Elephas maximus indicus: one gene and its partner. The protein of the gene in region 1 purifies or fractionates together with the protein of each later gene. This does not show direct contact. Links are inferred from orthologs where the notes say so. Each region holds a gene or a part of one and is shown on either strand. Other genes may lie near its edges.

Region 1 (15,627 bases):
CACCTGGCCTTCCCTGTCTGGGCCCTGTGCTCTGCCATTGCTGCTCGAGTCCCTGGTCCTCCTGGGGTTCGGGGGAGCCGCGGAGCCCTGCAGCTTCCGTGTCGCCCACAGAGCATGCTGCTGTGCTACTGCACCGCGCCTTCCTGGTGGGCATGTACGGCCAGGTGGACACCAGCGCCCAGATCTCTGAAGCTCTGAGGGTCCTGCACATGGAGGCTGTCATGTGAGCCCGCCTGTCTGCACCAGCCACACTGCCAACACCAGCCGTACTGCCTGCCCAGCCCAGGGTCCACCGGGGGCCCCTCTGGGAGGGGACAGGGCACCAGTGGCCTGAGGGAGAGCTGCGGCAGCCCTCATGGGAGACATAGGGGCTCCCCTGGCACAGGAATGGCTGTCCGCCCTGGCAGCCTCATACTGCCCAGGTCAAGTCCCTGTCCACAGGATGACTTGGGGACGCAGCCCAGCCACCAAGGGAAGCCAGCGTCCCGGCACAGCATGGTGAGGGCTGGTTTTAACCTCACCTTTTCAATGAAACCTTTTGAATCCTGTGTGCCGCCTGCCTGCATCCTTGAGGTTGCGTCCTCAGCCCTTCTGGGCCTGGTCTTTTGTGTCTCCCTGAGGCCTGGGGAGCGGAGCGGCAGGTACAGGCTCTCGAGAACCTGGCTTCCAGGTGGAGACCCCAAGTCTTTGGCCCCCCACCCTGCTGCCCCATCACCTCTCAGGCAGGACCAGGCAGAGGAGAGAAGGGAGCCCCAGGTGCCAGCCCGCAGGGCCCACACTGCTAAGCACGAGTGAACGGGGCCTCCCTGGTGGGCATCCTTCTGATGGGCCTGTCCACCCAGTCTGAGGACCCTGTAGGCCTTGGCGGGACGGAGGGGGCGGCCTTGCTGCTGCGCCCTGCCGCCGTCACCACCTCTTCCTGAGCTGCCAGAAGTGCCCACCTTCCAGGGAGCCTGGTGATAGACAAGAGCCCTGGACACTCCCATAGTGGGGGTAGGGGTGAGGGATGCAGCTGGCCTGGAAGGGGTGGGATTGGGTACCCAGCAGGGCATCGTCTCCCTGCAGGTGCGACGACCACCACCCAGGGCTCCCCTCTGTGCTCGGTACACAGCCAGAGGCTTTGTGGGGTCTGAGGGGTGATGGGCAGACTCAGGTCCACCCTTCCAGCAGTGACAGTGCTCTGCACCCAGCCCTGCCTGCAAGTGCCCCATCGTCCAGGTTATTGCCCAGAGGTCACCGAAGGCTCAGGCCCCTGTGCTTCCCAGGTAGTGTTGTGGCTTGCTCCTGCTGGGGCTGGGTTACTGGAGCCACCAGGGGGTGCTGCAGCCAAAGAGAGGTGGGGCGAGAACGGAAGTTTCTTATTGGAACCTCCAGGGGGCACTGCAGCTAAAGAGGTGGGGTGAGGGCTGCAGTGAGGCCAGAAGGTTCTTAGAGATGGTCAAGCCCCCAGGATGTGGAACCAGAGAGCCAGGACATGCAGCAGGTCAGGAAAAGGGGGTGGGGGGGTCCAGATGCTACAGGGGTGCCCCATCCCCACTCGCCTGTCTACTCTATCCTCTCTGGAGTCTCCAAAGGCAGCACAGGCCCAGAGACCAGGCCAGGGGGGACCTGCGGCTGGGGAGCCATCACTAGATAGTCCCTCTGCACCCTCCTATACTCTGCCCCGGGGGGGGCACCTGTCTCCACCCAACCCCATGACAGAAGGAAGGGGACCTCCCGCCTCCACCTGTCCAATGAGGGGAGCCTCCTATCTCCACCCTGCCCCATGATGTGGGACACTGAGTGGTTGCCGGGAACTGCCGGGCTCGGAAAACCCCCGTTGTGCTGTGTCCCCTCACAGCACCATGGTGCCACCCCACCCAGGGCTGCATAACAGCCTTGGGACATCCCTAGGCCCTGAGTGCCACCGGGCTCTCAGCGTGGGAGTCAGGAAGGACACCATACAGTGGCAGGCCTACCCCACCCTGCCTTACTGTGTGGGCATCAGGTCAGCATGTTCTGGTGTGATAATGAGCTCCCCATCACTCTGCTCCACAGGGCCCTGCCCCTCGGCCCCTTGGGCGTTGGTTCTGGGAGAGGAGGAGCCAGGGAAGCCTGTGCCAAGGCTGGGCAGGGCCCAAGGGGTGTGCTTCCTTTACAGAGTGGTGGGGCAGGGGGAGGGCCTGCTATGGTAGTGGTGAGCACACTGGCTTCCTCACGGCCTCCTGACAAGGCGTGCAGCTTTAATTTCCAGATCCGAGAAGGGACACGCCCTAACTTGCAGATAGGCAGGACCGAAGGTGGCCAGGTGGCTGGGCTGAGAAGGGCAGCCTGGGTCCTGGGGTTCCTGCATTCACCAAATTCCACCCCAGGAGGCCAGGCCCATGGCGCAGTTTCACAGATGAAGACACACCCAGATGGTTGCTCCAGGTCCCAGGGGGCCGGGGCACTGGGTGGGCTCGGGGGTCCTGAGAGCCTAGAACAGCCTGGCCCAGGTATGTCCCAGGCCAGTGGGGGAGGAGGGTGAGGCTCCCTGGGACTGCTATACCTTTCCTTTCTGGGCAGGTGGCCCCCTGGGAAAGCCCTGGTGAGGTTCCCAGGCCCTCAGAGGGTACCTTCCCAGGGCCAGGCTGAACCCCAGGAGACCCAAAGCCTGGGTCCCATGAGGCCTACACCTGGGACATGAGAGGCGTCAGCTCTGCCTGGGGTGGATGGATCTTGAAGGATGAATAATAAGTTGTCCCGGAGCAGCCTTTGAACTCATCAACTTGCAGATGGGGGCTGGGGTGCAGCATCTGCCTGCTCGACCCTGCCATCCCATGGTGGGGCAATTCTGCAGCCCAGACCCCGCAGAGTTCCCTTTTGGTGCAGAGCTGGCCTGGAGGGGACCACAGGGCTCAGTGAGGTGCACAGGGCCCAGTACATGCAGGGGGTTGCCCAGTGGGCCATTTGGTTCTGGCCACTTAGGTGGGAGTGGGGTCCTGGGAGAGGCCATGCCCCACCTTAGAAGGTCCCCTGGCCTTGGGGAGAGAAGCTGGATGAGGGCGGGACTGGGGGTCCAGGCCCCCAACCATCTCAGAAAGAAGGGATAGCAGTCCCAGGGGTGTCAGTTCCCTGCTCACCTGGGACGTACCTGCTCGCTGACCCACCAGCTCTGCACACCTGGGTGGCAGCTATGTCAGCCTCCTGGGGACACTGAGGCTGAGTTGGAGCTGGGGGGCCTTCAGTGGCCCTCAGTCCTGCTTTGTGCCCCGTTAGCATTCAGCTGGAACCCCTAGAAGCCCACGCAGCAGATCCCCAGCCAGGAGGGCCTTAGGGATGACAGTGTGGTTGCAGGAGCCCAGTGGCCTGCTGGGGTCAGAGGTCACAGTGGGGTCCTTGCACCGAGTCTCCTGGCACCCACCGTGAATCTTCCCACCATGGATCCTCCCTCCCTTTATCTCTGACTGCACTCCCTCTGGACTTCACCCTTGCTCTCTTTAAGGGCTGGGTGCCCTTGTCTGACCCTCCACCTCCCCAGGTGGTTAGCACTGGGGTGCAGGCAGACCCACAGGCTCTGACACCAGCTTACCCACTTCCTGGCATGGGCCTTGGGCAAGTCACCTTGCCTCTCCAACCCTGAGTCTTTGCCTGTAAAGTGGGCATAGACGCCAGGCCCTCCAGGTAGCTGTGAGGGCTGTGTGCAAAGCCTCTGACAAATGGGCTCCTTCACTAGCTCTCTCTTTTGGAAGGGGGAACTGGTCCAGAGAGATGCTGGCCAGAGAGGGGATGCACAGCAGGCTAGGCCTCTTGCCCACTTGCCCCTGTTTACTGTTTGCCAGGGAGCGTGGAGGGGCTGGTCCCTGTTACCAGGGGTTCCTATAAACGGCATGAGGAGGATTAATAATGTATTTATCACACATCGTCGCAGGAGCCGAAAATGATGTATAAACGTGCGGTAAATGTTTTATAATGTTTTTGTAACCCGTTATAAATGATAAATGGCTGACTATGGATGCCGGATCAAATATTTATAACACATTGTGCGCGACACCGGGCTGCTACAGTTCAGGAAAGCCATTAATAATAAAGTGGGTGGGATGTCGAAGTTGCTGGCATGCCCAGCAACGCCATTTGTAATGAGGTGTAAGACCTGGCTCCGGGAAGCTACCCAACAGCCCCCCAACACATGGCCACCTTCTCCAGAGCCCAGGACAGGAGTGGGATCGGGAATTATTTGTGCAGTGGTATCCAGAGGAGAACGTATGCCATCTACCTACAGCCCACTGTTCCTATGCCCATGGTATTAACTGGGCCTAGTTAATTCGTGGGTGGCCCCTTAAAATGGGGTGGTTCAACTTCTAGGCTCCCCTTCCCACCTGGGGATGGGGGGTGGCTTCGCCTTCCCGGGCCACAGGATGGAGCGCTTTCTGACCATGGCCTGGGGAGTCTGGCAGGAGTGGTCTCTAGAGGAGTTCAGGCTGTGAAGCCCGTGACCCACCAGCATCCACTTGGTGGGCTCTGTTCTCTCCCTTCCCTGAGCTCACCTCCAGCACCTGGGGAGGCTATGTCAACCCTGCTCCCCTCCTCCCTTAAACACTTCCAAGACGAGGGACCCCGTGTTAAGACCGTGATGTGAAAGACTCAAGGGAGTTTCCTTCAACAAGACAATAGAGAGGACTCCCACCCATCTGACTCCAAACTCTGCCCTGCTGTTCAAGCCAGGGTTCCCAAAGTATGTTCTGTGGAACACCGCTTTGATGAGACTCTCCAGAAACGAGGGTTCTGCGGGCAGGCTAGTTTGGGAACCATAATAGTGTGGCGCCAGCTCTGTGAAGTCCCTCGGGAAACACTGCGCCGGGCGAGACACCCCTTAATTCTCTCCCTCTCCACTATCCCATGTCCTGGTTTCGCCTCACTGGCCTCCAGGGAGCTCCGGACATGGGACACCAGCTCAACCCATCGGCCCTGAACAGATCAGTGAATTGGGGCTGAATCGCCTGCTGAAGGGTTTACAGACCCCTCCTCCCAGCCCCTCTAAGGCACGGTGCCCAGTCCCCACTGCCACCCTCCTAGGTGCCGGACCACCAACATGGCCTCCGGGAGCTCAGCTGTCCTCCAAACTGGCTTTGGATTAAAACCAGTGACCTGTCCCTCCCTGGTCCCCCAGCACCACCCTTGCTCCCTGAGAGAGGGCCCCCTCCACCCACACTGAAAGGGTGGGGACATGGGCTGTTGTAGCATGAAGTGGGCCAACTGAGGCCAGGTGGCCTGGAGTCCTGCCCCAGATAGGGGCGGCCACTTGGCATGAGTCCACCCCAGCCGACCCTGCTCCTTGGCCCCCCAACCCCACCCCGGCTCAGGGCAGGGGCTCCTCAGTGCCCAGTCCTGCCTGGCTGACCAGGTAGTCCCCTCTCGTCTCTGAACCTCGGCTTCTTTATCTGCAGAATAGATAGAGTCACCCCAGTTTAAGGGGCAGTTGTGAGAAATGAGAAAGTGGGTGTGAAATTGTGGGAGAGGCAAGGAAGAGGGCCTGGCTGGGCCCTGCTTCCCTCCCTGACCTTTCCTCCGACTGCACCCTGCCCCCCACCCCAATTCTCTGGGATGCAGGTCCCACTCCACCAGCCTCAGTTCCTCGAGCGCTGTGGGTGCGTTTATCCCTGCTGCAGGGTCTTTGCTTGTGCCAGCCCCTCTGCTTGAGAAGGGCATTTTTCCCTCTGACCACTTAATTCTCACCCTCAGGTCTCAATCCTGGTATCCCCTCCCCAGGAAGCCATCTCTGGCTTGCAAGAATTGCCCCAAGACGGAGGTCCCTAATTACTGTCTCCTGGTTACTGGGTACCTATCACAGGTACTGTTTTATATTTGGGGGGTGTCTGTGTGTGTCATCTACATCAGCTGCTGGAACAGGCCCCACTGTCCCAGCAGCTGACTTTTTCATCAAGTATCTTGTGTTGAGACCTAACGAACATACAACAGGGATTTTCCTTTTCTTTTTTTCACTTTTTGTGGCTGAATTTTCAACAATTAAGTGTGTGCTGCTTTGATAACCAGAAAAATGATGACACTCCTCCCCCCCCCCGCCACCGAATCCTCTCTCTGGGTCTCCGGTTGGGGTCTGGAAACATCCTCAAGGGCCTGGGGGCTGGAACCCCCTCCCAGACCTGTCCTGCTCACACAGCAATCACCTGCCCCCCAGCCCTTTGGGTCCAAGTGTGATTGTGTGAAGTTGGATTTATTGAGTGCTCACTGTGTGTGTGCCTAGGAGTCCCTAGTTGGTGCAAACAGCTAAGTGCTTGGCTGCTAACTGAAAGGTTGGAGGTTCGAGTCTACCCAGAGGCACCTTAGAAAAAAGGCCTGGCACCCTACTTCCAAAAAATCAGCCATTGAAAACCCTATGGAGCACAGTTCTACTGTGACATGCATGGGATCACCATGAGTTGGAGTCAACTCCACGGCAGCTGGTTTGGTTTTTTAGTTTACTGTATGCCTGCCCTAGGGTGACTGTCAAGGGGGGGTATGACACCCTTGCCGGTGAGGAAACCAAGGCCGAGAAGGGAAGGTAGTTGAGTGGATGTACCTACATCTTCTTGACACCAGATTCCTCTCTAAAGTGGGGTCCCCATAGCTGTTTTGATCCCAGACTGCAGCAGTTGGAACAAGAAGCTGGCGAGTGTGGGTGCCGGGCACCCATCTGGGGAGAGGACAGGTGGGGATCAGGGTCTCACACGGAAACAAGTGTGGTTGATGCCCAGGTGGGCCCCACCCCTCAGCCACTGCTTGGAGCAACACCCACCACTCAGCAAACTCTCAGCAAGGTGGACAGACAGGGAGGAGGTGTCAAGTCTGTCCGGGTTGCTGGGGAGGCCCCCAGATGCAGTTCTCTGGGCAAGGGGTGAGGCCTGAATGGGAGCCTGGGGTGGATGGAGTAGTTGGGTGGGGATCCTGCGTGGCTTCAGTGGCTCCCAGGTGCCCCCTGGTGGTGTCTTGGAGGGTGAGGGGAAGTGGTACTGGGTGGGGCAGGTGGAAGGATTGGCCTGAGCAGAGGCTCTGAGGGGGTGGGGAGGGCAGGGTGGGGGTGGGGGGCTGCACCCGGCAGAGGGTGCGGGCAGAGAGAGGCCAGGGCTGGCAGGAACAATATGCAGGGGCCAGCTGGCCCACGAGGCCCTGGAGGCGTGATAAGGAGACTGGACTTTATTCAGAGGGCAGCCAAGGAGGTTATGAGCAGCGATGGGGTTTGGTCAGGTCTGCTTTCTAGAAAGATCTGAGGACTGTGGTGGCTGGAAGAGCAGGAGGGACCCTGGGGAGGCTGGAGCAGTGGTCAGGGGCAGGGTGACGGTGGTCTGGATGGAGGGCAGCAGTGGTGGGCAGGGGGGCATGGGGGTCTCCTGGTCCTGGCTAGAACTCCCAGACAGGAGAGGGAATCCCTAGGTGGTGCAAATGGGTAACACACTCGCTGCTAACCGGAAGTTTGGAGGTTCAACTCCACCCAGAGGTACCTCAGAAGAAAGGCCTGGTGATCTACTTCCAAAAAGGCAGCCACTGAAACCCCTGTGGAGCACAGTTTCACTCTGACACACACGAGGTCGGCAGGAGCTGGAGTTAACTTCAGGGCACTTGGTTACTGGTTAGAAAGGAGGGAAATGAGGGAAGGACAGAAATGTGTGGTAGGGACATCTTTGGTGGCCCCAGGGAACTGCCGGACACACTTGCTCCCAGGTCACTGTCACCAGAGGGGCCCTATGGTGAAATGGGGGGGACGAGTGGGTTTCAGGAGTAAAGCTCAGTGCTTATAAGTCAGAACTTAGTCATCTCCCACTGTGTTCCTTCAGAGGAGGGTCTCCAGCCCCTGCTCCCCTCTCCACCCCTGTGCCCCCAGCCTGACACCTTACCGCTCTTGCCCTTTCCCTCTCTTACACTGGCTTTTCTGGCTCTAATTGCTGACCTGGGGTTAAGAAAACCTGGTTCCCCCGCCAGCCTCTGGTGAGCTGGCACAAAATCGCCCTTTGTCCCCTACTGGGGACCCGCTGGCAAGTCCTGAGCCATGGCCAGCAGCCATCCTTGGTCATGGGGCTCTCTGTCTGGTACCTGCTTGCATACCCCCTGGAACGGGGAGCTCACCATTACACACAGGCCTGATCCATGCTATGGGGTGGTCAAAATGTCCACACTGAGGTCCCAGCCTCAGTCTTCTGCTCCTTCAAATGGGCAGAGAAGCTGGCCCTGTCTCCCTCCAGGGCCATTTGTGGGAAAACACCTTCCTGCTGCCTGCCAGTTGGGGCGGATCCCATTGGGTGCTGTTTGGACAAGCCCTGTGGTAGGGGTGGGGTTGGGGAAGGGGGGGCCCTTTTACCTCTCAGGTCTCAGTATTTCCGGCTTGGTCCAGCTCATGTGCCACAGACGAGTCCCACTGGAAGAATGGGGGTAGGAACTGCCCCCCCTAGATCACTTAGGGCCGTCCCAGAGTTACTTTTCCTAATTACTGGCAGCACAGATGACGAAAGCTGAAAATTGGAGAACAGAAAAAATTACTTGAATCCCTGGGAAATCCCCTGCCCTGGAACCAGCTGGAGTGGACAGGCCTCCAAGAGTGGAGACACGGTTTGGACCTTGGGCCCCACCCGGAATGACGCCCCCCCCTCCCCGCTAAACACAGGGTGGGCTCTGGCAGGAACAGACCAGGCCAGAAGGCCCTTTGAAGACTAAAATGCAAGCTGCGGTCCTGGCCGCCCCAGGAGCCTCCCCAGGCAGTCCAGCTGCCCAGGGCTGGCCTGGCTCAGCTCCACCATTTCTTAGCTATGTGACCCCAAGCAGGTCACGTGTATTTGAACCTCAGTTTCCCCATCTGTAAACTGGACTTCCCTTCCGCTTCTCCATGATGGCGGTGAGGTAAGGGATGCAGCATTGAAAAGAAAGAAAAGCAGGGAGCAGGGGCAGCCTGACTAGAATCCCCAAGGACTGAGCCCATTCCCTGCACCGCGCGGACCCCGGGCCCTGACTGGGACCGCGGGTGGCCCGGTGGGGGCGTGACCGGAGATGTGGGGGCGTGGCCAAATGGGCGTGGTTGATGGACTGGGGGCGAGGCCTGGCTGGTAGGCTGAGTCCACGATCTGGGAGCGACAGGTTCCCAGCCTGGGGCGTGACCCAGGCAGGCAGAGGCGGGAACCTGGTAGTGGGCGCGGCCTGAGCTCTTGGGGGCGTGACCGGCGGGCAGGTTGGGGTCCCGGGCAGGGCCGTAGCCAAGAGGGTAGAGGCGGGCCCTGGGCGTGGCCGGCTGGGAGGGGGAGGGGTCTAGGCGACGGGGGTGCGGTCTAGTGGGCAGGTTGGGTCCCGGGCCGCGGGGGGGCCTGGGCTGCGGGGTCGAGACTGGAGGGCAGTCTGTGTCGTGGGCGTGGCCCAGGGGGACAGGGGCGGTACCAAGGCGGGGCCGATCGGGGGCGGGGCCGGCGGGGCGGGGCCTGGCCCGTGTTCTGGGTCCGGCCGGGCGGCCGCTGATCCTCTTCCTCCTGCCAACTCTGTCCGAGCTCAGCCGCCGAGGTTAGCCGCGTCCTTCGGTTCGTCAGTCTGTGGGCCGGCCGGGTCCGCGCGCCGGGCGGGCCGAGCCGGGTGTCCCGTCCCGCGCGGTCCGGGGAAGCGGCGAGGGGAGTTTCTCAGCGCAGCCCGAGCCCGGTTCCGCCGGCCGGCGCGCCGCCGCCCGCATGGCCGCCATCAAGGCGCTGCAGCAGTGGTGCCGGCAGCAGTGCGAGGGCTACCGGGACGTGAACATCACCAACATGACCACCTCGTTCCGGGACGGCCTGGCCTTCTGCGCCATCCTGCATCGCCACCGGCCCGACCTCATGTGAGTGCCGGTCCCCTCTACCCCGCAGGGGCGCCCTTTGACCCAGCCAGCGGCCCGGCCCCACGACTTCTGCACAGGGCGGCGCTCTTGCCAACACAGATGGGGAAACTGAGGCCCATACTTGTTCCAGGCCCACGGAGTGGAAACAGTTCAGCCCTGCGGGCTGCCCCCTCTGTCTCAGTTTGTCCGTGGCCAGGTGGAGCTGAGGCCAGAGCTAGGAACTCTCCTCCCTCCCCCGCGGGCGTTAGTCAGCCTGTGACTCAGGCCAGTGTCCTGGGCTCTGGCCTCAGCCATCCCTTTCTCCCTGCCTCTTCCCTAAAAGGGCCACAGGGCTGCCCTCGAGGCCCCCAGAAACCTCTGATTGTTCCAGGGTCACTTGGAGCTTCAAAGGTGGGTACCCTGCCTCCCCGGTCCCTCCAGGCACCTTTGAGAATGCAGCTTTGGGTCACTGTGGAGCCTGATGCAGAGCAGGAAGCCCCCCCGGCCTCTGCACCTTCAGGTGGTGGTGAGGAGATGGTGGCTGGGCTCCCACCCTTGGGAGCCAGAGGAGGTGGGTGGGGAAGGGAGGCCAGGCTATCTTCCCCCAGGAGGGTCCTGCCTGACTCTGAACTGGCTCAGTCTGTTATTCACTCAACAAACACTCTGTGGATGAGTGCCTGGGACCTGGTGCCCTGCGGTGTTTGAATTCACAATGGTTTAGCAGCTGAGGCAATACGCCTGTGTTAGGTGTCTGGATGCTCAGGAAGGGGGATCCTCAGATGCCCACCCACAGCCCAGCCACCTTCTGGAAGAAAGATGACGTGACGTTTAAGAGCCCTCCCTAGAGAAATTTTGGCTGGATCCAGGGGTGGGGAGAGATGTGCACTGGGTGGGGAGGCCTCAGGCAGCCCCTTCCAGATGACCAGCCTCAGTCAGGCCCCTTGCTGTACAGATGGAGAAACTGCGGCCCAGCAAGGAGAACTCCTTGCTCAGGGCCCTTCCCCTGCACCCGGGGGCTGTCCTGGGGCACCACTCTCTACAAGGAAGCTAGTCTTGCAGAACGAGGCCTCTTGTCATTTCTCCTCCAGCCCTGGGCTCCTGCCCTGAGGTTGTGAAATGCTTTCCTGGGAAGTCTCCATGTGGCACTTGGGCAGTGGCCTCTGCTTTGCCTGGGAATCTGGCCTCTCCTGCCCTTGGAGAAAGAGAAGACGCTGTTGCAGAATGAGCTTCGCATCAAAAGCTCCACGCCAAGCTTTGATGCGGGGTGAGCCAGAGACATGGGGGTGAGGGAGAGGGACCTGGAGCACAGAGGCTGGTTGGTAACAAGCACCGCCTGGGGTTGGTGCAGGGTCCTGGGTGGGGCTGGCTGGTGACTGAGCCCCAGCAGACTCCTGGGGGAGGGTCAGTGTACCCTGAGATGTGGGGCCTTTCTGCCCCTGGAGGACTCCCATCTGGTCCCACTGTGCTGGGGGTCAGAACTCCAGGAGTATGTGTGTGGCTGCCCCAGCGTGGCAGCACACTGGGGGCATGCACATGGGCATGCACACATTGGACCAACTGTTAGGGAGGGCCTACTGTGTACCCCTACATGGGGTACTGAACAAGACCCTCTTGGCCCCGGCCCGTGGGGATGACATTCTAGCTGTAGATTCAGACAGTGGACAGGTGAATGGATAAAAACGTAAGGTGACTCCCGGCAGTGGTGAGGGCTAGGACAGGAGGGAGCTGTAGGAAGATGAGGCCAACTGCCCGCACGCAAATGGGTATGGGGGTGACTTATTCGTTGCAAACAGGATTGTCGAACATTCCCCCCAGAGGGGGAGATGATTGACAGATACCAGCATGTAGTTGGAGCACTATAGATAATGGGACATGGTTGGGGTGCAGTAGATATGCGGGGGCTTGGGGTGTCGGTGTGAGGTAGAGGTTCAGGGGTGTCAGTGTGAGGTAGAGGTTTGGGGCTATCGGTGTAAGGTAGGGGTTTGGGGTGTGGGTGTGAGGTAGCAGTTTGGGGGTCAGCGTGAGGTAGGGGTTTGGGGTGTCATGAGGCAGGGGGTCAGGGTGTTGGTGCGAGTTAGGGTCTTGGGGTGTCAGTGTGAAGTAGGGGCTGGGGGGTGTTGGTGTGAAGTAGGGGTTTGGGGTGTGGGTGTGAGGTAGCAGCTTGGGGCTCAGTGTGAGGTAGGAGCTCGGGGGTGCCAGTGTGAGGTAGGGGCTCAGAGGTGTTGTTGTGTGGTAGGGGTTTGGGGGTGTTGGCTGAGAGACTACCATGAGTGTGATCAGTGTGTGTGCATGTGTGGGGTGTGAACACATGTATATAAGCCTGAGCACCTTTGTGCCTGTATCTGTGCCTTGGTGCCCCCCCTACACACACACTCTACAGGGAAGCTTCCATTCTGGCCCCTGCATGCCTATGGGCAAGGTGGCGGCAAGGGTAGGGGTCCCTCCATGCATGTCTCCAAAGCCCCAGCCTCAAAGCCCCTGAGCTGCCCCACTGGCCCTAGCAGCTGCCAGGAGAGGTAGGGATCATCTGAGAAGGACAAGCACAGGGTGGCTGTCCTCTCAGAGGAACCCCCCCAAGGTCAGACTTTGGGTTCAACCTTGGGCTGGGTGAGATCCCCGTGCCCCCAACGCTCCCTCTCCTCCCCTCTCTTCCTTTTTCGAAAGGACCCTCTGGACATGAACATCCTGTCTCACTATCTCCTAGTTTTGCCACCAGGAAGTCCTTCCCATTGTCTAATATAAACCCTTCCTGCTGCATGCTAAGCCCATTTCCTCTTAGAGCCCAAGAGCAGCTGTGAAGAGGGCTCTGCTCAGGTGCCAGACCAGCCAGGTAGAGACTCTTGAGTTCCTCTATCACTTTCTCCCAGTTCCGAGCTCCTGCAATTGCTGGGGCTTAAAGATACGGCCCCATGCCAACTGGGAGACCTGGGAGTTCACCATCACCGTGTCCCTGCCCCGCAGCACACATGACCTGCATTGGTTAACCCCGCAAGGACCCTGTGAGGTGCGCATGGGCCTCCGTTTAGCTCACCCAGGGACACCCAGCAAGGAGGAGGAGCTAAGGGCTTGCCACTTACCCCCCAGCCCAACCCCTCCTCTAGCCACCTGCCCAGTGCCCACCTGGTCCCTGCCCCATCCCAGGTGCTGTAGGCTCTCTGCAGGAGGCCTGGAAGGTTCTGGATGGGCGGACCCTACCCACACTCCCCAGCAGGCACAATCTGCCCACAGGGCCCGCTCCACGATGACGCCAGCCGCTGCTGCCCGGCAGCTAGTTGAGCCTGGCACTACCTGAACAAACAGCCCCACCCTCTTTGCCTTCCTTGTAAACCAGTTGGGCTGAGCTGGCTCCCTGCAGTGTGGCCAGGCTGGCAGCCCTACCTGGGGTGCCGGGGTTCCCAGATGCCCCTCCAGCTCCTGGGGCAGCAGGGGAATGTGACAGGGGTGGGGAGTCTGGAATGGAGTGAGCGAGGGAGCAGGGGGTGCAGGGTCTGGGTGCTGGGCTGGGAAGAACCCCAGAGGAGCTTTGTGGGCTTCCTTCCCTGGAGATGTTTCAAGAAAGAGGGGTGAGTTGTGGGAGGGTACTGGGTGGGGTGTCAGGAAGCTGGGGTTCAGCTGCAAACATGCTGTGTGACTTGGGCCCCCTCCCCCAGGCACATGGAGGGGTGACCCGAACTCTCTCTGAGATCTTTCACAGCCCTGGAGGTCTGCAGAAGGCAGGGGTATCCCCCCAACTATGGCAGGGGCCCCCAAGACTCACCTGTTGTTTGAAGTCAGAGAAAGGCTCACACAGGAGTCCCTCCCACCATGCTCAGAGGCAGCTTTGTGTCCCTTCCAGGGCCAGAGCAGAGGGTGGGCCACTGAGCAGGCTGACCTCACCTCCCTTTCAGGCCTGGCGGTCAGCAGGAGTTGCCAGGGGACAGAGGCCTTCTGTTCTGGGCCCGAGGGCCAGCTGCCCAGACCCCTGCCTGTGCCTTCTAGCCAGAGCAGGCCAAGGAGGGGGAGGGGGCAGGCAGCCCTGGACTCGGGACAGTCCAGAACTGAGGGGGGCTTCCAGAGCTCGGTGCCCCCACCACCCTGACCAAAGCCCCAGGGCAGGACCCCATGGCAGGACCCCAAGGCTAGGCCCTGCTCTAGCTGGGAGGAGGCAGCTCTGGGTGGGAGCAGGCAGGGTCTGTTCCTACTGGAGGGGAGGGAGGGCACGGTATCGCCTCTGTCCATGGGGTGCAAGAAGGGGTCCCGGGAACCCAGCCCTGTCCCTTCCCAGATCCTTTCCTTCCTGCCCATGCCTAAGGCACCTCCTGTTGCCTGCTCCTCCCGTTGCCCCCGCACTGCTCCCTGGCCCCAGCCCCCCAGTGTTCTCCCCTGTTCCCCAGTGCTGCTGCCTCTCTCCCAGGTCTGCCCTCTGGGTCTGATTCCTGGAACTGCTTGTTCTTGGGTATCTCTAGATCTCATCTGTCTGGGTTGGTCTCTCTGGTGTGTCTCTGCTATTTGGTAACTCTTTGGTAACTGTGTCTGTTTTGTGTGTTTCTGTCTCCCTGTGTCTCTGTGTCTCTCTCTCTCCCTCTCTCTGTCTCTCTCTCCCTTCCTCTTGATCTCTGATTTGTTGTCTCTCCATCTCATTCTGTTTGTGTCTCTCAGCCTCTCTCCTAGTCTCTCTGTCTCTCAGTGTCTCTGTGTGTCTGTCTGCCTCTGCCTCCCTCCCTCTTCCCTCTCACTTCCCTTCCCAGTGGGATTAACTCCAGATGTGCCTGGAAGGAAGACTTTTCCTCCTTGCTGCCCATCCCCCAGCATCCATCCCTGGCGGGGCTGCCTCTGGTTCCAGGAAAGAAGCGTCATGTGGTCAGTGCTCCAGGAATTTAGGGGACGTCCATCCCCAAGTGCCCAGAGGCGCTGGGTCAGCAAACTGGGGCCTGTGGTCATGGGTCAGTTGTGCCCTGGTGGGAGGTGGCAGGGACGGTCACAGCAAACATTTGACCATTGACATGCATTGTTCTTAGCTGCGGTGGAGTTGGCCCCAACTCGTGGTGACCCTGCGCGCAACAGAATTAAATGCCGCCTGGTCCTGTGCCATCCCCGTGGTCAGTTCTGGAGGTGGGGTTCAGCACTGTTGTGATCCACAGGGTTTTCACTGGCTGATTTTCAGAAGTGGATCCCCAGGCCTTTCTTCCTAGTCCGTCTTAACCTGGAAGCTCTGCTGAAACCTGTTCAGCATCACAGCAACACACAAGCCTCCAGTGACAGATGGGTGGTGGCTGTGCATGGGTTGCACTGGCCGGGAATTGAACCCGGGTCTCCAGCACAGAAGGTGAGAATTCGACCCCTGGAGCACCGATGTTCCACCGCTGTCATAAAAACCCAGTCGCTGTGAAGTTGACCCCAACTCGTGATGATCTCATGTGTGTCAGAGTAGAACGGGGTTCTATAGGGTTTTCAGAAGCAGATTGCCAGGCCTTTCTTCTGAGGCGCCTCTGGGTGGACTCAAATCTCCAACTTTTCAGTTAGCAGCTGAGTGTGTTCACTGTGTGCACCACCCAGGGTCTCTGACTGACATATACCAAGAACACCAAAAAACCCACTGCTATCGAGTTGCTTCCGACTCATAGCAACCCTGTAGGAACAGAATAGAGCTGCCCCGTAAGGTTGCCGAGGAATGCCTGAGCATTTGATCTGCCGATCTTTTAGTTAGCAGCCGTAGCTCTTAACCACTGCACCACCAGAGTTTCTGACTGACAGAGACCCAGTGAATTCATTCATTCAGCCAGTGTTGAAAGAATAAACCAGTCCTGCAAAAGTTCCCTCTCTCAGCACACATCAGATGGACCAGTTCCTCTACCAGCGTTTATAGAGTG
Region 2 (15,777 bases), on another chromosome or scaffold:
AAACTCCTAACCCTGGTACATATTATTATGACCCTATTTGGGAGCCCCTGGGTGGTGCAAACGGTTAAGTGCTCAGCCGCAAACTGAAATGTTGGCAATTCAAGTCCACCCAGAGGTAGCCTGGAAGAAAGGCCTGGCAATCTACTTCTGAAAAATCAGCCACTGAAAACCTTAATGAAGCACAGTTATACTATGGCATACACGAGGTCACTGTGAGTAGGAGTCTACTCAAGGGAAACTGGTTTTAGAAATAGGGTTTTCTTTTGTTTTGTTAATGAGGTTATGCCAGCGTAGGGTATGTCCTAAAACTAATTACTTCTGTGTGGTGTCTTATAAGCAGAGCGGAATAGACACAAGACACACACAGGTGGAAGACAGATGCCATGTGAGGACCCATCTACAAGCCGAAGAATGGCAAGGAACACCAGGCAGCTACTAGAAGCTGAAGGAGATAAAGAAGGACCTTCCCCTAGAGCTAATGCCCTGAATTCAGACTTGTGTCCTCCAGAACTGAGAGGAAATAAATTCTTGTTCTTTAAAGCCACCCACTTGTGGTACTTCTGTTTTAGCAGCCCCAAGAAACTAAGAAAGGGTGCCTCCCTGCCCTGCAGGCTTCAGGAGCCCCTCTGCCTGGCATGGGGGACACAACCCCAGGTTCAAGGGGAATAGGTCAGCTCTGTGGCCATGGCCCACAGAAGAGCCAGGTTTTACCCAGGATGGAATGCTGAGCTAACCCGGATGGGACAGTCACGTCCTCAGAAGGTGCTGATCCAGAATCTAGAGCACAGCTCCCTGCACTGGGTATGAGACGTGAGGGGTGTCTGAAGATCAAGATCATAGCCACAGGGGCTGGAGCGGGGACACCAGGTGCATCTGGCTTGAAGTGCTTGCCAGACAAAGGGGCCAACAAAGAAACATGGATCTTACCATATCTGCAGTTTGATTCTCTTGCCATCAAGCTCTATGGTTCTGATTTTAAAGTCAATTCCTGAAAGAAAAGGAAAAAGGCACATCATTTTCAGCCATTTCCCAAGCTGTGTCAGAAAGGGTGCTGCTGATCTGGGCAGGTAACATCCCCCCTGGATTCCGGAGCACCTGCCATGGGAGGGGCACTGCTGACCTGGGCAGGTAACAGCCCCCCTGGATTTCAGAGGACCCTTATAGATGGTGGCACTACCAACCCAGGCAGATAACAGCATCCCTAGATTTCAGAGTACCCCCACAGAAGGGGGCATTGCTGGCCAGGGCAGGTAACAACCCCCCAGTGTGCCAACCACAGGAGAGACACTGCCAACCTGGGCAGGTAACAGCCCCTGGAGTGCCTGCCGCAGGTACCAGCTAGGCACTGAACTTATAGACCTAGGAATCCACGCAGGTCTGGAGGCATCTGGAGCTACCTGTTCCTCCACCGGAGGGGAACTCTAGGCTCACAGGGCCAAAAGCCATTGCCCAGAGTGAAGCCTGCAAGTGGCAGGGCTGGCAGCCAAATGCAGGTAGGCTCAATTCCAAAGCTTGGCTTTCTGCCCTCGCTGCTGCCCCTGTGCCTACCTCCCAGCCCGAGGCAGCCGTGCTTAGAGCGGGTTTCAGTAAGAGCCTAGCGTGTAAGCCCTGTGCAGCCCAGAGGTGCCGTCTCTCCACCTTGCCCTCTGAGGTGCTCAGGCCCTTCCTCTCAGCCTTTGCACGTGCTGCTCCTTCTGTGTGGGTGGTCCCACGCCCGTCAGCATGCACACATCTCCTCCTCCAAGGCCTTGGTCAGACCTCAGCTCTCAGGAAGCCTTCCTGGCTCAGCCCTCCTCTCATCCTGGGTACCAGGTTGGATTCCTTTTCACCAGTGTGGCCTCGGCAGCCTCCTAATGTCCCTCCTGTGTCCCTTCAGCTTGCTCCCTACTTCACGGTGAGACCTTCAAAACTATACCTCTAATCTCAGAACAAACCTAACCTCCACTCCAAACCTTCCAGTGCACCCATCACTGGATGGAGGAATAAACACAGTTTGGTTCCTCCACACAACAGGATATTATTTGGCCACAAAAAAGAATGAACCTTGAAAACACGACGCTCAGTGAAAGAAGTCAGACACAAAAGGCACACAGTGTCTGTTCCATTTACATGTAATGTCCAGAACAGGCAAATCCACAGAGCCAGAAAGCAGATTAGTGGTCGCCAGGGGCTGGGGGAGGAGAATGAGTGACTGCTAACATGCACAAGGTTCTCCTTTTGGGGTGATGAGAATGTTCTGGAACTAGACAGAGGTGGTGGCTGTACAACATGGTGAACAGACTAAAAGCCACTGAAGTGTGCACTTTAAAACGGTGACTTGTATGGTATGTGAATTATACCTCAATAAAACTGTTAAAGAAAAAAAAAAAAACCCCACACACAACAAATACCTCCTGACAGCTCCCCCCTTCCAGAATAAAACGCAAACTGTTGCCCTGTCTATGCTGGTGGTCCCTCTGCCCATGGTGCCTTGGCTCCCGCCCCCTGGCTCTTTCCTGAACATTCCAAACCTGCTCCTGCCTAGGGGCTTTTCCACTGGCTCTTCCTTCTCCTGGAATGTTCTTTCCTTCCACAGCTGCCTGGCTTCCCTCAACTCACTCAGGTTCCTGCTGGTCACTGCACTGGGGAGCCTTCCCTGACCAGCCTTGTTCTCTTATCCCTTACCCTGCTTTTAAAGTCCCTGGGCGGTACAAATGGTTTGTGCTCGACTGCTAACTGAAAGGTGGGTGGTTCGAACCCACTCAGTGGCACTGTGGAAGAAAGTCCTGGCAACCTGCTTCTGAAGGATCAGTCTTAAAAACCCTTTGGAGCAGTTCTACTCTGTAACACGTGGAATCATAAGTCAGAATCCACTTGATGGCAACTGGTAACCCTGCTTTTGTTCCGTGCAGCATTTGTAACTCCTTGACATCGTGTATTTGTCTGTTTCATGAACTTGGAGTGGACCTTACCAATCTCCATGGCTTGTGGTGCAGAAATGGTCAAGCCCAGCCACTGCCCACAGAGTGTCCTAACCTCCAGCCTGAGAAGCAAGGCCTTCCTTGACCCTCTAAACCCCACAACGGGGATGTAATTATGTCCTTGTCCTCCTCAGGGGCTGTCCTGGAGACCAAGAGGAAGATCAGCCTAACTGTCCTGACAGGAACATAACCTCTCTGAGGGCAGAGACTCAACATGTCCTCAGCACTGCTGTGTCTCCATGACTAAACCCAATGGCAGGGGCAGAAGAAGGTTCCTGGGTGGTGCAGATGGTTTGTGCTTGACTGCTAACATAAAGGTTGGTGGTTCAAACCCACCCAGTGGTGCTGCAGAAGAAAGGCCTGGTGATCTGCTTCTGTAATGATTATAGCCAAGAAAATCCTACAGGGCAGTTCTACTCTGAAACACATGGGGTCACCATGAATCGGAGCTGACTCGGTGACGTTATTTTTGGGGGGCTGGAGACGTGTTGGAAGCTGCCTGCCCAGTCCTGCATACACACATTGTGACTATAGCCTCATGACATTTCTGCCTCCCTCAATCAATTGCTTCTTCCCTGCAGCCCTGCACTGGGGCAGATGCCTGGTCCACAGTGGGCCTCTGTGAAAGGTGGCAGGATCAAAGAATGACAAGCAACAGGGTCTACGCGATGCTGTTCAGCATAGGACGCACTTTCTCATCAGCCATCCACCTAACAGGAGGAATGATCGGTCCCCAAGGAAGTGTTAGAGGCTGAGCCAGGCAGCTGAGAACTGGCTCCAGGAGCCACAGGGCCAAGTTCCCACCACAAACGATCAGTGGAGCGTATGGGAAGAGATAGGCTTTGGCAAAATGTCATCCAGGCAGAAAATGAACAGGCACTCAATCTCTGATCTACGAGGAAAACCCAGAGGAACAGGCGGTGCCAACACAGGATTGTCTTGGCATGAAGCTGTATTTCAGAGTTCAGCAGCCCAGAGCTGACTCTACCCCAAACCTTCCCCACCTCCTGATGCAGAGAGACAGGGGTCCACGAAAGAAAGCAGCCCTGCCTGATTGGTGGAGCTCTGAGACAACACTCTGCCCCACACTTCTGGGTATTACGAACACACCCCATTTGATTAGGAAGTGTAAACTTTATGAGGCCTAATGATTATGAGGCCATAACTTCAAGGTCGAGCTCAATTAAACTCTCCTAGAAGGTGACCTGGGTGGTGCAAATGGTTAAGTGCTTGACTACTAGCCACAAGGCTGACAGTTTGAGTTCACCCAAAGGCACCCTGGCAGACAGGCTTAGTGATCTACTTCTGAAAGGCTAAAACCAAAAAACCAAACCCAGTGCTGTCAAGTCAATTAAGACTCATAGCAACCCTATAGGATAGGGTAGAACTGCCCCACAGTTTCCAAGGAGTGCCTGGTGGATTCGAACTGACAACCCTTTGGTTAGCAGCCATTAACACTTAACCACTATGCCACCAGGGTTTCCTCTGAAAGGTTACAGCCTTGAAAACCCTACGGAGCAGTTTTACTCTGCACATAGAGGGTTGTCTTGTGTCAACTAACAACAACAAAAGAAGACAGAGGGCTGCAGCAGGCTACAAATGCAATGAACAGAAGACTGGGGCAGGAGGGAGGGGTCCTGGGTTCAACGCCCACTTCCAACTCCCTGTACGACCCTGGGCAAGTTTTCTCCTCTCTCTGGGCCTGGTCTCCTTGTCTGTAAATGGAGGAAGCCAGCCTCCTTGGAGCCCTCAAATGTTTGATTGGGTTTTCTGATCAAAAATTAAAAACCAAATAAAAAAATCTAATGCCGGAATCGAGCTCACCAGCGCTCAAGATTAGCACGATATGGGTTGAGATCAAGCCACAGTCTGCCAGGAGTTAAGGCCACTTCCTGGTTTGGAAGGGAGGCAAGGGCCATCCCAGGGTTTGAACTTGGGGTGGGGGAAGTGGGAGGATTCAGATACACCTGTGCCCCAGGGTGAGATGCTGTCCTTGCAGGAGCCATTCTGCTTCTGCTAGGCAGCCCCTGGCAGTGACAACAATCCCTTAGTCATCATATAATTCTGATCCTTGGCCACCAGGACACTGGCCAAGACGAGGGCACTACCCCTCATGAGAAGAAACAGCTGAGAGAAATCAAGTGGCTTATTCAAGGGCAAACAGCAATAGGACACCAGGTCTGATGGCTTCCAGTCTAATTCTCTCTACCTGACACCTGGTAGAATTCTCACCTTCCACGTGGGAGACCTGCGTTCAATTCTCAACCAATACACCTCGTGCACAGCCAGCACCCATCTGTCAGTGGAGGCTTGTGTGTGGCTATGGTGCTGAACAGGTTCCAGCAGAACTTCTAGACTAAGATAAACTAGGAAGAAAGACTTGGTGATCAACTTCTGAAAGTCAGCTGGTGAAAACCCTATGGATCCCAGTGGTCCAATCTGCAACCAATCATCAGAATGGTGCAGGGCGGGGCAGCATTTCATTCCCGCGTGTGTGAGGTCACTGTGGGTTGGGGCTCACTTGACAGCAGCTAACAGCAACAACCTCAGTTTAGTGACTGTCCCCCACATCCCCACTACCATGCAAAGCTACTTCACTTAATCTGTGCTATTCCCAGTAGAACTTTTTAATGTAAGCAATGAAATTTTTGTGGCACAAAGAGAAGCCAGCTTCACTTTGATGGATGTCAGAGCCAAGATGTAACAGGCCGGTTCTGTTCAACCACCACGTGGGCTGGCTCTGTGGAAAAGGCTGTTTCTCAAAGTGACAACTTGTGTCCTGGGCCTTGCAACAGGGCAGTTAGGGCTGTCTGTGGGAGCGGCTGATTTCAGTTTCTCATTGAGGCTTTTACCTGGCATAACCTTGGTGATGACAGGCTCCAGGGCAGCGGCTGTCACTAGCCATTGCTGTCACTCTTGAGGGATGGAAGGCAGGAAAGTAAAAGCTCCTGATTCCCTGTCATCATTCCTTCTAGAGGAAAACTTACCCAAGGAGGATACAGGGTCAGCCCCTGATCTCTCCAAGGTTAGGAACTGGACAGGTGCAGACTGGGGTCCTGTGCCTGTCCTGCAGGTGCATGCTGGCATCTATTTGGCATGGTTGGGCCTGAGTTTTGAAGTCAGACACTTGAGTCCAAATCTCACCCTCATCACGTACCGACTGTGTGACCTTGGGCAAGTCCTATTCTCTCCCTGAGCCTCAAACTCCTCATCCCAGCAGACGGGGCTCTCAACAGCACCTAACCCAGAGGACAGCAGAGAGGGTGATAACGTGCAAAAAGCGCTTGGCAAAGAGTAAATGGTCAATGAAGTCAGCTGACATGGTCCTTTCACTACAGTTAACTTCCTATGCCTCAGTTTCCATTTCTGTAAGATGGGGACCCCCAAAGAACGGCTTCGAGGGCTGCTGCAAGAACTGAACGCAATGACAGGCGCGAAGACCTCAGCCCAGGGCATACACTCCCCGACGAGCGGGCTGAAGATCGGGGCCTCAGTCTCCTCATCTGCAAAATGGGCACTTGGCTCCCCCCACTGCTCCCAGGGCCCGGGAATCCCCGACGGTGGTGGAGGTGGCTGGTCGTCGTCCCAAGGGCCCCCTCGAGCCTCTAAGAACCCCTAGGGCCGTCCGCCCTGATCTCTCCCTCAGTCCCGGCCCCTCAGGCGAGCGCCCGGCCCGAGCCTCCCGTGCCCCCGGCCGCCCTCCGGCCACGCTACCTATGGTGGAGATGAAGGTGGAGTTGAAGGCGTCCTCGGAGAAGCGGAACAGGACACAGGTCTTCCCCACCCCCGAGTCCCCGATCAGCAGCAGCTTGAACAGGTAATCGTAGGTCTTCGCCATATTACACTCTCTCCCCGACGGGAAGTGCGGCCAGCGCCTCGCCACTGGACGCTCGCCCCGTCCATCAGCGCCGAGCCCGCCCCCCATTGGCTGCCGGCCCACCGTACGTCACCGCGGCCGACGCCCGCACCCGCTCTCAGCCCTGCGCGCGGAGACCAGGGAAGGGGCGAACCGAGCACGGAGCCGGAAGCGGCACGAGCGTGCTGCCCATTGGCCTGTGCTCGGGTCAGAGCGGGCTGCGATTGGCTGGCGGTGCGGAGTTGAGGGGCTTCAAATGGGGAACGGGACGTGGGCGTGGCTCCCATGGTCCAGCTTCTTCCCGACTCTGGGGCGGCCCCGCCTCCCTCCCTTATGGGACAGGGAGGGCGGGAATCGTCGCCAACGGCCCCGCGCGCTGGCAGCCCGGGGGCGGGGGCCTGTGGCGCGTGCGTATGCGTGCTGGGAGACCATTAAGAGCCAGCAGAGGGCGCACGCGCGCAAGGGCGTCTGGTCCCGCCCCGACGGCCTGCGCAGCCTCAGCAGGCTTTGGGGCGAGCGCGGGAGGGAACGGTTCGGGGGGCGTCGTCGTCTCGGGAAAGCAGGGAAACAAGGGGCGTACGTCGCAGTCGGAAAGAGGCCCCTGGAGATCCCAGTGCTGGACGAGGAACCTACCTGAGGCTTCCCGGCCTCTGCCACCTCAGTGGCCTCACTGCCCCAAGCTGCGCCCTCAGGGCCCCTGAGGCTTCTCAGGACCAGCCCTCCGACCTAATTGACCTAATTAGAGGTTTCCTGGTGGTCTAGTGGTTAAGTGCTACGGCTGCTAACCAAAGGTCGGCAACCAGGCGCTCCTTGGAAACTCTACGGGGCAGTTCTACTCTGTCCTCTAGGATCGCTAAGAGTCGGAATCTACTCGACGGCAGTCGGTTTGGCTTGGTTTTTGGTCTGGCAACTCTGCCTCGAGGCCTCAGCCTAGACTCGGCCGCCTGTGCCCAGTCAGCTCTCAGAGCTGCACTTGGGGTGCGGGTGGGTGTGGGAGTGTCTCAAGACCCTCAAGGGCATGAAGGATAATTATAGGTAACATTTATGAGCAGTACTTCCGTGCCTAGCAGTGTTCTCAACGCTTTATGTATTTAACCGCCACACCAACCCATAAGGTAGGTATTGTTTATCCACGTTTTATGGTGAGGAAACTGAGGCCAGGGAGGTTAAGTGACTTTCCCAGGGTCCAAAGTGAGAAGTTGGTTTTTGAATGCAGACCTGTAAGACTCAGAGGCCAAACTTTTTTTTACTATTCGTTAAAATAATTTTATTGTGGTGAAAATATAGGTAACAAGACATACACCGTCTCAACAATTTCTACATGTATATCAGTGACATTTGATTATACTCTTTGAGTTGTACAATCATTCTCAATATCCTTTTTCAGGAGGCCAAGGGGGCAAATGGTTGGCAGTTCGAACCCACTCAGTGGTGCCTTTGAAGACAGGCCTGGCAATCTGCTTCCAAAAGGTCGTGGCCTTGAAAACTCTATGGAGCAGTTCTAACTCTGCACACATGCGATCACCATGAGTCGGAATTGACAGCAACCAGCAAGAAGCTCTTGGTCAATATGGTTTCCTGATTCTCAGAGATTGATGGTCCCAACTGCGTGCTTGGGCTCAGGGCCTCACATCACTTGCTGGAGCACACAGAGAAGCCTGGAGACTCGCCTGAGGATTTTCCAGAAGATGGCCCCAGCTTCTCCTACTCCCTTCCACCCCAGCTTATTCATCTGCTAATTAGTTCTGGTCAAGAAACACTTCAGCCAGAGCCATTGACCTTCACAGGCCTTACCCTCTGTGGTATTTTTATACTATTGACCACCTTCCCTCTGGAAATTCTCTTTCTTGACACCTCATTTCTCCTACCACCTACCTCCCTTTCTTGGGTACTGCGTCTCATTCCATTGCAGTCTTTTTTGGAGGTCTCTGCTTGTCCCTGAGCAGTGCAAATGGTGAACATGCTTGGCTGCAAACAAAGTTTAGAGGTTCCATTCCCCCGCTCCAAGGCATCTCAGAAGAAAAGCCTGGTGACCTAGTTCTAAAAAATCAACCATTGAAAACTGTCTGGAGCATAGTTCTATTCTGACACACGTGGAGTTGCCATGAGTCTGAGTTGACTCAATGGCAACTAGCAACTTCTTGTTCCTTAAGTGTCGGTGTTCCACATGGTTCTTTCTGTCCTAAGTCCTTTCTTCCAGTATCTCCACACTATTTCTCGGTTCTTTACCCATAGTCCAGTCATGCTTGCATGTCCGAGTGGGTTTGCCAAAGATAGTTTAAACTTAACATGTCCACAACTGAGCTCATCTTCCACTTAGGTGAGGGCAGTGGTGGTTCAGTGGTAGAATTCTCGCTACGTGGGAGACCCAAATTTGATGCCTGACCAATGCCCCTCAGGTGCAGCCACCACCCATCTGTCAGCGGAGGCTTGCATGTTGCTATGATGCTGAACAGGTTTCAGTGGAGCTTCCAGACTCAGATGGACTAGGAAGAAGTCCTGGTGATCTGCCTCCAAAAATCAGCCCATGAAAATCCTATGGATCACGATGGTCTGATCTGAAACGGATCATGGGGGGTGGCGTAGGACCAGGCGGTGTTTTATTCTGTTGTGCTTGGATCATTGACTTGATGGCAGACAACAACTTCCACTCAGACATGCGTGTCTTGAATTACCTTCTGTGAAACCTAAGTCTCTGACATCTTTCACCCCTTGCATCCTGGAGCTTCTAAATAGCTCTTGAATTTTGCTCTTCCATTTCCATTTGTTACAGTCAGGTCCTTATATTTCTCCACTGGTCTTCCTGCTCATTTTCTCTAATCCAGCCTCCACCCTGTAGAATGTTCACTTTAAAACACTTACCTTATTACATCCATCCCTTGCTTAAAATCCTTCAGAGAGCCCCCAGCAGCATAACACCCCAGTCTTTAACCTAGCGTACACCCCACATAATCTAGTCTTCACCTCACCCTGTGATTCACCGATACCTCATGGGGTTGGGAACTCCCCAAGAGCTGAGCTGAGACAGGTTAAAGAAGCGTGGATCGCTTAAGCCAAGTGCTGAGGCATGAGGATGACCAAAACAGTATCCTGAGATTACAGCCTAAGTGGGTGGCAAGAAGGGAGAAAACAGACACGTAAGGGGTAACTTCAGTCCTAACAATGGTAGCACACATAGAGAAGGGGGTTATACTTTATTCAGTGATATTCCCAGCAAACAAGAGCCTGTTGCCGTCGAGTAGATTCCAGTTTGTGGCAACACCATGAGTGAAACTGAGCTCCATGGCTTTTTTTTTGGTGGTCGTAACCTTTACAGAAGCGGATCACCAGGCCTTCTGTGGCGCTGCTGGGTGGGTTCAAATCACTAGCCTTTTGGTTAGCACCTGAGCACAAACCATCTATCTGTGCCACCCAGGCAACGGACAGTGTTAGATAAATGTCAAATTAATATGTTTTTAATTGTAGTTGTTAACAGAAACCTGTTTGCATATGCACTTAATTTTTTCGTCTTTCACTTCTCTTTTTGATCCCTCCTCCACCTGCCCTCCCCTGAAATAACCCGTTGTGGTTGAGTCAGTTCCTACTCATAGAAACCCTACAGGACAGACTAGAACATGGGGTTTCCAAGGCTGTAAATCTTTAAGGAAGCAGACAGGCTGGTGAGTTCGAACCGCTGATCTTCCAGTAAGCAGCTGAGTGCTTTAACCACTGCACTACCAGGGCTCCTTCCCCCAAAATAAAGGGACTGCAATTCAGGCAGTGAAACTGGAGTCATCTTGGACACTCCAAGTTCCGTCAGCTCACTCTTGAGGTTGCTTCCTTCAGATCGTCTCTTTCCTCCCGTTCCTTGGCAACCACTGTCCTTATCCTGGTCTTCTTGCCTCTAGTCTGCCACACCCTTCCCATTGTTGTTGGGTGTCATGAAGTCAATTCCGACTCATGTCATGGTGACAGAGTAGAACTGCCCCATAGGGTTTTCTTGGCTGTAATCTTTTATGGAAGCAGATTGCCAGGTTTTTTCCTCCTGCGGAGCAGCTGGTTGGATTCGGAGCAGCTGGTTGGATTCGAACCGCCAATCTTTTGTTTAGCAGCTGAGCTGTTTGCATCACTAAGGCTTCTTACCCCCCCTTAAAACCCAAAAAAGCCCCAAACCCGTTGCCTTCAAGAGTCGATTTTGACATCCTTTCTTAAAATGAATGCTAAATGGATTTTCCTAATGCAGTACTTAGTCTTCCGTGGCTCTGCACTCTAGACCAAATTAAGTTAAATCTAGGCTTTCATCAGTCTGGACCCAGCCTATCCAGCTTTCTTATTTCTGCAACACACAGAAGGTCTTAACCAAACAGGTCCTGTGCTTTCCTGACTCAGGTTACGTGGGCCATCTTCCCTGCTCCTATCACCATCTATTAAAATTCTACTCATTCTTGATAGCCTGGTTCAGGCAAGATTGGGGATAACTAAGAACAGGAGCTTTTGTGTTACTGAGACAAAGTGCTCTCATCTGTAATATGAAGAACATAATTGTTGAATCATGAAGTCATGATATAAAGCCAGTAAAATTTGCTAAGTTCTTGGCACAGTTACCTTCCCATCAATTGACCAAATATTGAGAAGCAAAGTTGCTGGTATGGGCCCACACATTCTAAAACTGACACAAGTTGTAGTTTATGTAAAAATTTATTTGACCAAAATGTAGAAAAAGAGATACTATTACATATGATACAGTTGCAAGAATCTAAATGAAAAGTGTGGGTTTTATTCAATTGCACAATTTGCTAGTGTGTCTCCTGGTAGTGTGATGCTTAATAAATAGGAGTGAAGGGGAGGGGTTGTGGATAAGCTAGAAGCAGGGTGATTTTGTCCAGAATTGTAAACTTGAGTTGGCCCCCACGCTGCTGGGGAATGTGGAATGTTTGAGCTCTGAGATGTTAACTGAGAAAGCAGAAATATAACAAAGCCAATATGTGCAGCCCTGTCTACAAAATACTCCATTATCCAGTTTAATCAGGAGTTTCTTGGTCTTTTATTAACTTGGTCCCGAAGAAGGAAATGAAGTCCTAAATCAGTAAATCTTCCATCTGCCATTCCCTGAAGTATGGAGGAGATGAAGTTGGGCCAATTATTTTTTCATCTCTACTTTGCTGCCATAGAGGCCCCTTCTGCCCAATGTTTGTTAATAGAAAAATCTCTTTGGTCTCTTTGGTCCAATTTATTGGTGGCTAGCAGTCTTCTGACATGGCAGCCTTGGGCAGGACTGAACACCATATCATTCCTGCTGAGTAGATGGCCTCATATCACAGCAGACAAGCATGGAATAAGACATCTTCTCAAAGGCCAACTTTAGAATGAAAGAAACATGTAGAAGAGCATAACATCAAGGATTGTCCAGCAAACATTTGCATTGTTACTATGACTATTTCCCAAGCATTCTCATGCTGACTACTCAGAGGATGTTTGCCCGGTGGAGTGTGGAAAAGGGCCAAGATGATTAGGCTAATCTGTCTGCGGTTTATGACTTCCCACTACAGTCCCTTTTTTTTTTTTTGGCTCTGGATGGAAAATCCCCACCCATATTAAGTGATGGTCCCTGGCCTCCTGTAGTGTGATCAGTGGTGGCCCAGAAGGCTTTATTCTTGAGCCTTTTAAATCAACTCATGACTAGATATTCGAGTCTGTGTTCTTGAAAGTGTGGGGTCGTCTATTCTCCCAGGAGCCAAATGCCCTCATCTGAAGAGAGTATTTTTTTTTTTTAGAGTATGCTCAATATAAAATACCCTGTCTATCTTAGAAGTAAATGCAACTTAAGGATAAAAATAGAGCTGAAAAAGCTGGTGCCATTTGAAAAAAGGGAAGGAATCAGATTGAACTGGTGCTCAAAGCTTCTCTGATACAAAATATTTGGTCATGTATTCCTAATTTGCTCAACATTTCCAGCAAAGAGAAGATGCAGTAACAAAAGAAACTTCTTAAAAGAGAAGAGAAAGATACGGAGCTCTGGAATTTCTGTTGGAACAAAACTCTTCTGTTTTGGTTATATACAGTTAAGTTCGTTTAGTGTCTGATCCAGTGTCTGATGTAAGCCCACGTTCTCTTCTTTGGCCTGGGCAAGTTTTTCTGGTGAGGATTAAGAGTGAAGAGAAAAAGAAATTAGTACCATTGTTAAACATCTTTGTTTCCTTTAACAAATTGTTAAGGGGTGGGGGGCGGGGGGAAGTGTCTAAACCGCAAACTGCCAGAGTGAAAGCCATACCAGAGGAAATACTTTGAATTTTAATTACAACAGCACACCATGGAATACTAGGCAGGGACCACGTACCAAAATTTGGGAGTAAGAAGCGTTGTCAGATAAAATACAGGGCACTTGGAAACCCTGGTGGCATAATGGTGAAGTGCTGTATGGCTGTAACCAAAAGGTCGGCAGTTCCAATCCACCAGGCGCTCCTTGGAAACTCTATGAGGCGGTTCTGCTCTGTCTTATAGGGTTGCTATGAGTCAGAACCAACTTGACAGTAACGGGTTTGGTTTTGGTTTTTCGGTTAAATTTGAATTTCAGATAAACAACAAATAATTTTTTAGTATGCCTCAAATGTTGCCTGAGACACACCAAAAATTACTTATCAACTATCTGAAATTCAAATTTTATTCGGTGTCCTAATTTTTTGTTTTAGTTTGCTAAATTTGGCAACTGTAGAGTCAACACCTGGATTTAAGCCTAACTTATCTAAGCTTTCTAGGTCTCAGTTTTCCCATCTGTCATGGGGTTATGGGGTTTATTATGAGGCACACATGGGAAATGTGGTGCTAGGAGGTGCTGCACAAACTTAGGATTTTAGTCCTAGATATGGGCGATTTAATATTCCCCTTGTTGTTGGGTGCCGTCGAGTCGATTCTGACTAATAGCGCCCCATGTGATAAGAGTAGAACTGCCCCATTGAGTTTCCTAGGCTGTATGCTTTATGGGAACAGATTGCCAGGTCTTTTCTCCCATGGGAGAACTGGTGGGTTAAGCTGAGTGCTTAACCACTGCACCACCAGGGCTCCTTAGATATTCCCCTAGTGCTAGTCAATTTATCCTCAAGCCTTTGATAGGAAAATACACTCCTATAACCCATCTTTCCTGTGGAGTTTCTGGGAACGGTTGGTTGAATTCCAGTCAAAATTGTGTTATCGTGTCTGTGTATGCAGCGCCTTGTAGTCAAACCCCACGTAAATGCAACGTGATAGAGACTTAAACTAGACTATGGCCAGTGGCTCTGCAGGAGAAAGGCCTGGCAAACTGCTTCTGTAAAGATTACAGCCAAGAAAACCCATGGAACGGTTCTATTCCGTCACACGGGGTCGCAATGAGTTGGAATCTACTCGACAGCAATGGATTTTTTTTTTTTTTTTTAAAGTGGGCATGTTATTAAGTGACCGAGCTGATGAAATAAAACACAAACAAAAGTAAAATGCCAACTAGCGCTACGCGTGACAGAGCACAAGAGAACTGGTTTGTAAATGAGTGACAAGGGACTGAGCCACGATTGATTAAAATACTGGAGGAAAGCAAAATGCCTCGTAAGATAGGAGATGATCAACCAGGAAATTTTCAGAAGGAAAAAAAAAAGTCAATGCAGAGAATGGCAGCCTTTCTACTGTGACTGCTGACCCTTTCACTTGACATGGCACTTAAAAAAAACCTAAGCGACCATGATCTGGAAGCAGTCCATCACAGGAAGAACACTGGCCTGGGTTTACCCAGTCTGGATGGACAAATTTTAATCGAGTGCCTAATATGTGTGAGCCAATTTCTCCATCATCTCATTTAATCCTCACGATAACTGAGATATCGCCTGTATTTTGCAGAAAAGCTAAGGCTACACAAGATACAATGACGTGTGGAGCTAGGATCCAAACCCGGGCTTCCTGACTACAAATCCTGCCCTCATTTCCCCTTGCCACCCAAATCCTGGCATCTACTTCGTTCTTTGTTGTTGTTAGCTGCTATCAAGTCAACTGACTCCTGGTGACCCCACGTGTGTCAGAGTAGAACAGTACTCCTTTTGGAAGCAGATCGCCAGTCCTGTCTTCTGAGGTGCCTCTGTGTGGGTTTAAACCACCAGCCTTTCAGCTAGTCCAGTGCTTAACTGCACCACCCAGGGACTCCATCTGAAATAAAATAACTTTCCCTTAAAGTGTTAACTGCTCTTGTGAGTTGTCAACAGGTAGGAGCAGAACTCCACAGCACTAATCTCTGCAAATGAAGTTCCACCTAGCTGCTTACTTGGGCAGAATGACTGGATAGGCAGCGCTGCAGTTATTTTAAAGGGTGGAGGTGAAAAAATGTCTGGAAAAACCCTGGAAGCAAATATGCAGAGAGAGCAAACCAAAAACACCCACCCCAACATGCTCTAACGTTATTTTCCAAGGGCATGTGTATGGCATGTGTGAGGGGAGTGGGTAGTTCATGCAGAAGGTCAGGATGGGTGGTGAATGTGGAGAGGTCAGGGGTGGAAGGGTGTGAGCAGTTTAGGGAAAATGTGTTTTGGCGGAATAACTACAAAGAAAAATTGGGATGGAGGTTCCCACCTGAATAAAAAACTATGAGACATAACAAGCTATGTTGTTACTGTTGTTAGTTGCTGTCAAGTGGATTCCAACTTGTGTGCAGAACAGAACTGTGCCATAGGGTTTTCCAGGCTGTAACCTTTCAGAAGCAGATTGCCAGACCTTACTTCCGAGGCACCTCTGGATAGGTGTGAACTGTCAACCTTTCAGCTAATAGTCAAGCACTTAACCATCTGTGCCACCCAGAGACTCCATAACAAAAAACTGATGATCTAATTGGTGACTTTCCTGCCAGTTCCAGCTACAAGGGGAAGTTTGGAAGATGTGGCTTGGACTGTGGAATGTCAGTGCTCCTGGGACATTCTGAGGTGGTGAAGCAGAGAAGAACTGGACAGAGTGGAATTTGGATTATCT

What was found.
Region 2: the proteins of MICALL2 (region 1) and RAB8A purify together in Homo sapiens (co-immunoprecipitation; 3 studies listed by BioGRID and IntAct, with this or other methods). This does not show direct contact. The link is inferred for Elephas maximus indicus from reciprocal best matches to the Homo sapiens genes MICALL2 and RAB8A.

The regions. Positions count from the first base shown.
Region 1 is NC_064830.1:95,786,340-95,801,966, reverse strand, and holds the start of MICALL2 (MICAL-like protein 2), read left to right. Parts: upstream 1-9,431; 5' UTR 9,432-9,656; coding exon 9,657-9,799; intron 9,800-12,065; exon of another isoform or gene 12,066-12,782; intron 12,783-14,416; exon of another isoform or gene 14,417-14,617; intron 14,618-14,775; exon of another isoform or gene 14,776-15,036; coding exon of another isoform or gene 15,037-15,083; intron 15,084-15,627. Other genes in the region: INTS1 (integrator complex subunit 1), read left to right, coding at 112-227. UniProt on the Homo sapiens protein: Effector of small Rab GTPases which is involved in junctional complexes assembly through the regulation of cell adhesion molecules transport to the plasma membrane and actin cytoskeleton reorganization.
Region 2 is NC_064821.1:36,338,678-36,354,454, reverse strand, and holds the start of RAB8A (ras-related protein Rab-8A), read right to left. Parts: upstream 6,833-15,777; 5' UTR 6,799-6,832; coding exon 6,675-6,798; intron 989-6,674; coding exon 928-988; intron 1-927. Other genes in the region: TPM4 (tropomyosin alpha-4 chain), read right to left, coding at 12,848-12,930. UniProt on the Homo sapiens protein: The small GTPases Rab are key regulators of intracellular membrane trafficking, from the formation of transport vesicles to their fusion with membranes.